Linked DNA regions of Sus scrofa. Each later gene encodes a partner of the first gene's protein in a complex. Links are inferred from orthologs where the notes say so. Each region holds a gene or a part of one and is shown on either strand. Other genes may lie near its edges.

The links.
Region 2: AKAP17A (region 1) and C1H9orf78 share a complex: the UniProt entries of both Homo sapiens proteins name them as parts of the spliceosome. The link is inferred for Sus scrofa from reciprocal best matches to the Homo sapiens genes AKAP17A and C9orf78.
Region 3: AKAP17A (region 1) and PPP1R8 share a complex: the UniProt entries of both Homo sapiens proteins name them as parts of the spliceosome. The link is inferred for Sus scrofa from reciprocal best matches to the Homo sapiens genes AKAP17A and PPP1R8.

What each region holds. Positions count from the first base shown.
Region 1 is NW_018084901.1:899,219-902,503, forward strand, and holds part of AKAP17A (A-kinase anchor protein 17A), read left to right. Parts: intron 1-179; coding exon 180-328; intron 329-2,721; coding exon 2,722-2,962; intron 2,963-3,285. UniProt on the Homo sapiens protein: Splice factor regulating alternative splice site selection for certain mRNA precursors. Mediates regulation of pre-mRNA splicing in a PKA-dependent manner.
Region 2 is NC_010443.5:269,989,107-269,992,507, forward strand, and holds part of C1H9orf78 (uncharacterized protein C9orf78 homolog), read right to left. Parts: intron 3,136-3,401; coding exon 3,065-3,135; intron 2,396-3,064; coding exon 2,318-2,395; intron 1,502-2,317; coding exon 1,304-1,501; intron 585-1,303; coding exon 448-584; intron 347-447; coding exon 248-346; intron 1-247. UniProt on the Homo sapiens protein: Plays a role in pre-mRNA splicing by promoting usage of the upstream 3'-splice site at alternative NAGNAG splice sites; these are sites featuring alternative acceptor motifs separated by only a few nucleotides. May also modulate exon inclusion events.
Region 3 is NC_010448.4:84,976,633-84,980,279, forward strand, and holds part of PPP1R8 (nuclear inhibitor of protein phosphatase 1), read left to right. Parts: intron 1-1,184; coding exon 1,185-1,405; intron 1,406-2,955; coding exon 2,956-3,100; intron 3,101-3,647. UniProt on the Homo sapiens protein: Inhibitor subunit of the major nuclear protein phosphatase-1 (PP-1). It has RNA-binding activity but does not cleave RNA and may target PP-1 to RNA-associated substrates. May also be involved in pre-mRNA splicing.

The DNA of each region.
Region 1 (3,285 bases):
CCGAGTTCCCAGCCTGAGTCTGGGAGGAGCTCAGCTTGGGGCGTCAGGCCCACGCGCACCTTCACTCAGGTGTGTGCGGGGGGGCCCGGGAGCCCCCTCTCCGAAATGAGTCAGGGGGCATCCACCTCGTGTGCGGAAGGAGCCCTCCAGGTCATTCCACCCTGCGCCCTTCCCTACAGGTTTCTTTCGATTCCACCAAACACCTGAGCGATGCCTCCATCAAGAAGCGGCAGCTGGAGCGGCAGAAACTTCAGGAGCTGGAGCAGCAGCGGGAGGAGCAGAAGCGCCGGGAGAAGGAGGCGGAGGAGAGGCAGAGGGCCGAGGAGAGGTAGGCGCTGGCCGGGTGAGCCGGACCCCTCTGCGTGGGCGGCGGCCTCCGCCCGGTTGCCTGGCCCCGGCCTCCCTCCGAGCCGCCCAGGGCTGAGCAGGGCTCCTGCAGAGACTGGCAGAGCCTTGGCTGCTTTGCAGGGGTTGTGTTTGGGCCGAAGCTGCCGTCCCAAAGAGCAGTAGAGGCCCTGCGGCACGGGCGGGCTCGAAGCAAGTGTCTTTCAGGGCCTTCGGGGGGACTGCGGTTCACAGGCAGCGTCAGGTCCCGTGTCTCCCTGGCCGGGCGGTGTATCTGGGTTGTAAACACGTCTGCCCAGCGAGACTCCCTGGGCTCCAGGAGATAAGGAACAGTCGTCCTTGTCCCGTCACGGCTGCTGTGCCCTGGGTGCTTCTTGGCGTGGGGGTGGGGGTGGGTGGGTGTCAAGGTGTCACGGGCAGGGCTTCTGTCTGGCCGATTTAGGACTTTTGTGGCCGATTCCTTCCCTATCAGCCTCTCCACTTACCTCTTGGCTGAGCCGACTTCACTCGCGGGGCTGTCAGCTTCCTGTTTGTTTTCCCTTCTCCCCGCCGGCAGGAACAGGTGCCGAGGTGTCCTTGCAGTTGGTGGGGAAACCAGGGTCAGGGTCCAGCCCGTGCTGCTGCTCCTGACGCAGCCGGTGGACGTCCCCAGGGGGTCGGCCTGCTGGCCGGGGAGGCTCCGGCCGGGGATCGGGAGCCCGCAGGGAGGCTGGCGTGGGGCCAGCCGAGGGTGTGCGTGCCGCGTGGCTGTCCTCCGGCGGTGGCGGCGGCGCTCACAGGGCTGTTTGCATCTCGACCTGGGCGAGGCTCAGGGACGTCCAGGCCCCCCAGCTCGGGTCCCCAACGGGCCTTGTCCTCGCGTCCCCAAGATGGCCCTTGATCGCAGGCCAGGAATCGCAGACGTTACCCCTCGGCGTTTCCGTCTCCTTCATCAGGGCGTCGTCGAGGTTCGGGTTGTGGCAGTTTGTGCTGTCGGCGTCGTGAGCCCGCCACACGCCCCACGGCGTTTCCAGAAGCAGCTCTGAGGTCCCGTTAAAGACACTTCCCTCGAGCTTGGTGGAGAAACGAGGGCAGGGAATTGGGCCGAGAGTGGTCTTTGAGGACAGAGGGTCAGATGGGTCCCCGAGGTGTGCTGAGGACACGGATTCACAGCTGGTGGCGTGGCCTCTGCTGCCGCCTGGGATGACACTGGCCGAGAGGTGGCAGGGCCGCGAGGCGGAGCCGGGCAGGCCTGGGGAGCCTCCGGGTCTGTCCTCTGTCACGGGTGAGGTGCTGGGTGTTCGGGCTCAGTCTGGATCCGCAGTCAGGCTCCTGGACTTGGCCTTTAGCCACAGTTTAGAGCCGTGGGCGCTCTGGGGCTCTTAGGGGACCCCTGGTGCCAGGGACCATCAGAGATGTGGCCTTCTGGCTGCTGTCACCCTCATTGCTTCCCACGTGAGCCTGGGCCGGCCTTTCCCTCTGTGTGGGGGCTTGGCTGGTTCCGGGGCTCCAGCACCCCTGGCAGCCGTGTGCCCCCATGGCCTCAGAGGGCTCCCCCAGGTGGCATCCTGCCCTGAGCAGCCGGGGGCTCTGCCCCTCCGCCCCCACCCCGCCCTGCAGGTTCCTGGAGAAGTCAAAAGCCCCAGCACTCGGGAGGCAGGCGTACAGTGTGACGCCCCTTGGTCTTCCACACCTTCCCTGGGGTCTCCAGCCATCCTGATGGCCTTCGATCCTCATCTGGGGGACCCCCCCCCAGAAAGGATGGTAGGGTCCAAGCCGGTGTGTGTGGTGTGTAAGCGTGTGGCACAGTCATTGCCTGCAGGTAGTGCCCGTGGTGACCTCGCAGGGTGTCCCCAGGTGGTGTGAGCTGTCCTGCTGTCAGGACCGCTCCCCCTTCTTTAGGGACGGGCCCCAGCAAAGCGGGTCGGGTGTCTGTTACCGTGGTCTGCCTGTTCTACAGCATCCCGCGGCAGGGTCGTGCCATTGGCTCCGTGCTGGCAGAGCCTTCCTGTGGGCACGGTCCCCGGTGGGAACATCTGGGGCAGGGGCGCCCCCGCCCCTGAAACTCGTTTGTGTCCTCTGCAGCCACTCCACTGGGCGGCTGGGCTGTGTGGGGCAGGCAGCGTGTCCTGTGCAGGTGCGGCCCACCAGCGGGGGTGGGCCTTGTTCCAAGCTGCATTTTCCAATGTCTTGTACCCCCTCCCCATGGAGTCCGGGCTGGGCTCGCACTTAGCCAGACTCTGCCCCGCAAGGCGATGGCCCCCGCCCCGCCCCCATGCGCCTCTGCGCTCCTTAACGTCCTTGGACTTGGACGTGGGGGTGAGACGCTGCGACGTCGTCTTTCCCGCGGCGTCCCCGCCGGCTCCGCTGAGGCCCTGGTGCCTGCGTCCCGCACAGGAAGCAGAAGGAGCTGGAGGAGCAGGAGCGGGAGCGGAAGCGGGAGGAGAAGCTGCGCCGGCGTGAGCAGAAGCAGAGAGACCGCGAGCTGCGGCGCAGCCAGAAGAAGCTGGAGAAGCTGCAGGCCGAGGAGCAGCGGAAGCTGCAGGAGAAGATCCGGCTGGAGGAGCGCAAGCTGCTGCTGGCCCAGCGCAACCTGCAGTCCATCCGGCTCATCGCGGAGCTGCTGAGCCGCGCCAAGGTACCTCCTCGGCGCTCCTGCGGGGCTCCCACCCCCGCTGGCTGCTGCAGCACAGCCTGGAGGCGGGAGGGAGCGGCGCCGCGTCCGCGGACCTGAGACCCATGCAGCCTCCGCCCTCTCTTCCTGCATCTGCTGCGTCCTGCATGCTCTCAGTCTCTGCGAGCGGAAGGTCTCCTCCAGTCTCCGCTAGGAGGCTGGGAGGGGCGGGGCCCGCAGAGCGACGCCCTCCCCGGGGCTCCTCCCACTCCGGCTTCAGCTAGGGCTCCGCCAGGTACCCCCGCGGGAGAACAGGCTGAGCCTGGTCCAGGGGCCGCGGCCGCGCT
Region 2 (3,401 bases), on another chromosome or scaffold:
CACCCTTATGGTTACGAGCCGGGTTTGTTATCGCTGAGCCACAATGGCAACTCCACCATCCCCATGGAGAGGTGAGGAAACTGAGCCTTGGGAAAGGGAAGGCACAAGGCCATGGTCCAGAGCACAGACCAGAACCCAGAGGCCCTGGCTCCGAAGCCCTTGCGCTGCCCCTTCAGAGTCCGCCCCCGACCCTGCCGGCCTGGGGCAAGGGTTGCTCCAGGCACCTGGAGGCCTCTGCTGTACTTACGCTCGGGCTCTGGCTTCTCTGTGTCGCCCACTCTCAAGGGTCGGGCTTTGGGCTCTTCTTTGTTTCTCCGTATGGGAGCATTGAGCTCCTCGTGGTAAACTGGAGCGAAAGAGACCAGAGGATGTGTCAGGCAGACTCTGGGAACCCAGGGACCCCACGGCGCTGGCAGGGCTGCCTCCCCAGGGACGAAAGACGCTTACATCGGTTGTGCTGCACGTAATTCACTGCCATGTTGGTGGGCACGAAGGATGTCTCGCTGTCCTTCTTCTTGTTCTGCTGCTCTGCCAGCAGGCGGGCCTTGGCATCCTCCGTGGAAATGATATTTTTGATTTTAGCGCTATGGGGAGAAAGGAGCCACACCCCATTAGATGGTCCCAACCTTTGGGCCTCAGATGGAACTCTCTGGAGGGGCTGGCAGCCCTCCACTGCCTGAGGATGTCACCTGCCTTGGGGCACAGCACTCTACAGTTTACCAACTCCCCCTGCAGTCACATTCTCATGGAGCTCTCGCGGCATCGGAGATGCAGTTCCTCTCTGCTGATAGAGAGAAAGCTGGGCCAGAGAGGTCACGTGATCTGCCTAAGGCTCAACACTGGTAAGGCCACAAGGGAGGCAAGAAGCCAGAAGTTCCCAACTTTCTACCACCCCCGAAGATGGTTCTGACCACTGCATTTCCTCCACGAAACCCCCTTTTAGAGCAGATGTTCTACACTAAAAATGAAAGGGGGATCACCGGTGGGTGAGCCTTTGTCGTGGCTCCTGCTAGGATGAAACAGAATACGAGGACCCGATCAGAGGCGCTGAAGAGCGGTGAACAAAGGCTAAATGAAAACAAACACTTTTGCTTCCGGCAGTCGGGGTCCCCTGTCTCTTTAACTACCCTGACCGACCCTTCAGAGAAACGCCTGGCAACAGCCAGCTCGGGCTGCCAGAGAGAAGGCGGTTTATATCTGCGGGTTTCCAAGGGGACAGGTGAAGAGACAGTCCCCCGAGCTTTCAACGGGAGCCCTTCTGCCTGGGAGGGGAGAGAGGCCGGAGCCGGGCTCGGGAACGCACTCGATGCCGAGGTCCACCTCGGGGATGCCGCTCAGCATCTGGTTGGACAGCATCTCCTCCGTCCTCTTCGCTGAGGAGACCCGGATGTTCTCCGGCAGCTCGTAAAGGCAGTCCTCCGCGTTCTTCGGCTTGACTTTCTGTTCCTCGTGTTCCACGATCCCTTTCCTCTTCTTTAGCTCTGTCTCGATGTACTTCATCCTGAAAGGAGAAACCCACAGGCCTCAGGGAGGGGTGGAAAAGCTCACGACTGGTGTCTTTTTTTTTTTTTTTTTTTGTCTTTTTAGGGCTGCGCCCGCGGCATATGGAGGTTTCCAGGCTAGGGGCCCAATCATAGCTACAGCTGCCAGCCTACACCACAACTACAGCAACGCCAGATCCAAGCCGTGTCTGTGACCTACACCACAGCTCAAGCAGCGCCGGATCCTTCACCCACTGAGCGAGGCCAGGGATCGAACCCCCAACCTCGTGGTTCCTAGTCAGATTCATTTCTCTTGCGCCACGACGGGAACTCCACATCTTTTAAATTAGTGTCCCTGACACCGGCCCACCGAGCAGGGATGGTTAATGATGAAGTTTCATCGTTCCATGGAGAAGCAAGAAAAATCCAAATAACTTGAGTTTTTCAATCAAGCTAAAAATTTCCAACTTAAAGCACCAATTTACATCACGAGATTCTGTCCCACCACATACGTAAGGTTCTTTGAAGAGGAAAAGATACACGGCAGACGGTAGGTAGTTATTTAACATCCTTGATGGCAAAATAAAGAAATGGGCAAGTCCAAAGTTTGTCCCTGCACTTTGATGGGGGGGTGAGGGGTTATTACTACTCAGGGAATCTAAAATTCCAAGAACCACACTTTTAAAGAATTTTTCGGAGTTCTTCAAAGTTCTCAAGCCTGGGGTGGGGGCAACGCTGCTGTCTCTGGATAATTCTAGAAGTGTCCCCAGTGACTAAACATCTTGGACGGTATCTGGCTGGAGCCCACCCCCCATTCCCTCCCTGCTGGCACCTACATGTCGGCGTCCTCATCCCTTCGGTTGGTTTCAGCGGAAAACGACGTCCCCAGATGGAGATCCTCCTCTTCGCTGATCCTACAAAAAGTGAGGCCGAGCCTTAGAGTCGCAGCTAAATGAGGCTGAGCTGGACGGGAATGAACGGTACGCGTAAAACAGGCACGCGACAAAAAGCACAACGTCCTGCTTAAGGTTAGAAAACACATACACATACATAGCACATAATACAGAAACAGGAGGAACTCCAGAAATGCACGCAAGCAAACGCTGGGCCTCTGGAGATGCCTCAGCGGAATGGGTAGATATGTTTATTTTTCACTTTCGTATTGCTTGTATTATTTTTGTACTTGTGTTTCTATGTTTTTTTCTTTCTTTCTTTTTTTGACTGCACCTGTGGCATGCAGAATTTCCCAGGCCAGGGATCAAACCCAAGCCACAGCAGTGACAACACCAGATCCTTAACCTGCTGAGCCACTAGGGAACCCAAATGTTTTTCTTTAAAAGAAAAACAACTTCCATATGAGTTGGAGAGACCATAAACAATGCACCTTTACAAAAGGTGTCTAGCCATGTTACTCTAAGTGAACCTTTGGAGCTTTTGTTTTCTTTTGTTTTTAAACAACAGAGCGTTTACAAAGCACAACGGTACTTCAAGATGTCCCATTAAAGATGCTGCAGGCCCTAGAATAACACAGACCCAGGCAGAGGCTACAGGTGAAATTGCATCTCAGCCTGCCTTGCACTTACTTATCTTTGCCTCTTTCTTTTAGTTTCTTCATGTCCACCATCCCACCTGTCTTCATCTGAAAGGGATCATCCTGCAGAAAGCAAACAGAGCAGGAAGCATCTATGTAACTGGCAGGGCAATTTTTTTTCACTTTTGTCTTTTCAGGGCTGCACCCATGGCACATGGAGGTTCCCAAGCTAGGGGTCCAATCGGAGCTGTAGCTGCCGGCCTACACCACAGCCACAGCAATGGGGGATCTAAGCCACATCTTCGACCTACACTACAGCTCATGCAACGCCAGATCCTTAACCCACTGAGCAAGGCCAGGGATCGAACCTGCAACCTCATGGTTCCTAG
Region 3 (3,647 bases), on another chromosome or scaffold:
CAAAGGTTAATTTTTTATAATGGGTTCTTTACCCCAGCTACATTTTGCTTTGACTACTAATAACATAAATTTTCTGGAGTTCCCGTCGTGGCTCAGTGGTTAACGAACCCGACTAGGAACCCTGAGGTTGCGGGTTCTATCCCTGGCCTCGTTCAGTGGGTTAAGGACCCGGCGTTGCCATGAGCTGAGGTGTAGGTCGCAGGTGCGGCTCAGATCCTGTGTTGCTATGGCTGTAGTGTAGGCTGGCAGCTGTAGCTCCAGTTGGACCCCTAGCCTGGGAACCTCCATATGCTGCGGGTGTGGCCCTAAAAAGACAAATAAATAAATAAATATATTTAAAAAAATTTTTCTGTGAACACCAACTAATAAGATTTTCAGGTTTGTCAAAGGTAGTCCCAAAAATGCAACTGAGACTTACTGCATGGGGCCTTGAAGTGTGTTCATTTTGCCTGCATATAATTATAGCATAAAATATAAAGGATCTGCTTCCTGGGTTGATCATATTTTACTTCTTCCTCCCATCTCCAACACACACACATACACACATTACACATCACCCCAGTCTGCTTATAATAATGGTTTTCGAGAGCCTTGTCTCAGAAGTACTTACTTGCAAATTTATCTCATCTTTTCTCTCCATTTCATAATATGCAGAATGCAGACATGGACAAATATTCAGACTCTCCGGTGGGATTTTGGCTTCCCTTGCCATTGACATTGCACCTGTTTCTGCCAGCTTGCTTTCTTATCCTGGGGAAAACCCAAACATAATGGCCGCCAGGCCAGCAGTTCCTATGTTCCTTAGACTTTGGGCTAGAGAGGTCAGACCATAGCAATTCCTCTCTCCTGCCTTGGGGGCATGGCTCTTGCTGGGTTGGAGCCATTCCTTCTGGACCCAGAATGGATCCAAGCCTGTCTGGCAGCAGAGCGCAAGCAGTGGTATTTGTTATGTGGGGTAACAGCAGGTGTGAAGATGTGTAAGAAATCTGCTGAAGAGATTCAAGATTCAGTGAAGGAGTTTCCTTTTCATTGTGACCCATGACAAGGGATGCAAAGTGGACCCAGTGCCATTTCCATTTTAAAAAGCAAAACTGATGTGCTGGGAGGAGCTGCTCTCTCTTCTACAACTCAGGTTAGTTTTTTATTTTTTCCCTCTCTTACATTTCTGATTTGGTTATTCCCAGCACACGGCACTTTCTTGGGTCACATTCGGTTGGAACCTCACAAGCCTCAGCAAATTCCCATCGATTCCACGGTCTCATTTGGTGCATCCACAAGGGCATACACTCTACGAGAGAAGCCTCAGACATTGCCATCGGCTGTGAAAGGAGATGAGAAGATGGGTGGAGAGGATGATGAACTCAAGGGCTTACTGGGGCTTCCAGAGGAGGAAACAGAGCTTGATGTAATTCTCTTTCTATGTCATTGTCATGTCTTTTGGGACTCTGATTTTTGCAGTTTTTAGCTGTGGTGTGTAGCTTGAAATGCCAGTGAGTTAGCAGCTGGAGATTTTCTTGAGCCCAGTAACAGGCCTTTGCCACTTTGGCAGTGTGGTGTGGCTCTTGGAGAGCTGCATTGTGTGGGTTTGGCTGTGCATTACCAGGGCTAACTAGGAGACTGGATTTCCTGCCAGTAGACCCTCATGGTTGTCTATCGGATGTTAGAAGCCAAGGCTGGGAGTTACGTCTTTACAGAATTGCACTGGCCAGTGCAGTAGCCATTAACCACATTTTAAGTACTCAGTAGTCACTTGTAGCTAGTGACTAACCATATTGAATAGCACTAACAGTAAAACCTTTCCATCATCCAGAAAATTTGATTGGACAGCACTCGCTTACAGAGATTGAAACTTTCATTCATTTATGTAGCTCTTTTTTAAATTGTCAGCCCAAGAATCTCCTGAATAAAACTAGACTACTTTTGCTCTGGGCCTGGCTGCCATGAAGGCCATGAATTTTACAAGATTTAAATTTAATGTGCTAAGGTTTTCCTCTTCTAGGGCAGATCCTAGGAGTTGGTGATGTAGCTGTTGTCTTCACATATCTGTCACTGTATTGATGTGACTGGTTGTATCCAGGTAGATCAAATGTCAGCCTTTCTTTAACTGCCCATATGCATTTACTATCCTTGTACACCGAGGCAGTTTCACAGCCCTTTGGGAGAAAAGCACAATAGAAATCTTACAACTTAAAAGTTATTTTGTTCTAAGGGAGTTGCCTCATAGCCAGGGACCTTGTTAGCAATCACTCTTGTTCTTTCTCCTCTTTTAGTTCAGTATATTAGGTCATCTCTGGGTCCTTGTTCTCAAGACATTTGGAAAATCTCAAACTGCAGTGCAGATTGGATTAAGTCCAGGGGATTGGGAAGAGGCAGGCAGCAGTGCTGAGGCCAAGTTAATCATTGAGATGGATGGATAGTTATGAATAGAAATGGGGCCAGATGCAGTGATGGGAAGTGACAAGATATTAATGCCAAATATTCAGTGCCCTGGCAATGTCCTTACAAGTTTTAAAGGAGAGAACTACTGGGAAAGAAGCTATCAGTTGTCCCTTCTCATCTCTGTTTTTTCACTTAAAAACAATTCAGGGATTTCTTCTCAGTTGCATTCCTTTAATTCTCAGCATGAAGATATGATAACCTTTCTTCAAAAAAACCCAAAACTTCAGTTCCAGGGTTTTTGCACAGATGTCCTATTTTTAGCTCAAGGCCCTTCACCTCCTTTTGAATATCACTATCCCACTAGTCATTGCAGATGTTCCACATTCTGTCAAGTGAGGCTTGTTGGTATCAGAGTCTAGGGACAGGGATGAGTCTTTTCTGAGTGCTGAAGAGAATTTCAACTGCATGGAAAGGTCCAGGTTAGCTCCTGAGACCTTCCCGCTCTTTGTTTGGTAACAGTCTCCTTCAGATTCCCTTGTACTTATTCCTGTTTTTCCCCTGTGAACCCTGGCCCAGAACCTGACAGAGTTCAATACTGCCCACAACAAGCGTATTTCCACTCTCACCATTGAGGAGGGGAATCTGGACATTCAGAGACCAAAGAGGAAAAGGAAGAACTCACGGGTGACCTTCAGTGAGGATGATGAGATCATCAACCCAGGTGAGGAATCTTCATAGTTTTTTCTGATGCAAAAGCTGTGATCTAAAAAAAAAAAAAAAAAAATGCTGTGATCTTGGAGTTGCCGCATGGCACAGCGGGATTGGCTGTATCTCTGCAGCACCAGGACACATGTTTGATCCCTGGCCCAGCACAGTGGGTTAAAGGATCCAGCATCACCACAGCTGTGGCTCAGATCTGCTCCCTGGCCCAGGAACTCCATATGCCACGGGATGTCCAAAAAAAGAGGAAGAAAGAAAGCTATGATCTCAGCAGTGCACATAACTTGTAGGTCAGTTGTAATGTTTCACAACAAGGTTTAGGATTGCAGGTGCTATGTTGAGGGGAGATATTTTTGTACAGTGTAAACATACCTTGGAGATATGAGTTTGGTTTAAGACCACCACAGTAAAGTGAGTATTGCAAAGTGTAAAATATCATTCTATCTAAAAAGACAATGTATATGTCTTCATTAAAAAATGCTTTATTGCTAAAAAAATGCTAGCCATCATTTGCGCCTTCAGGGAGTCGTAATCTTTTTGCGGTAGTA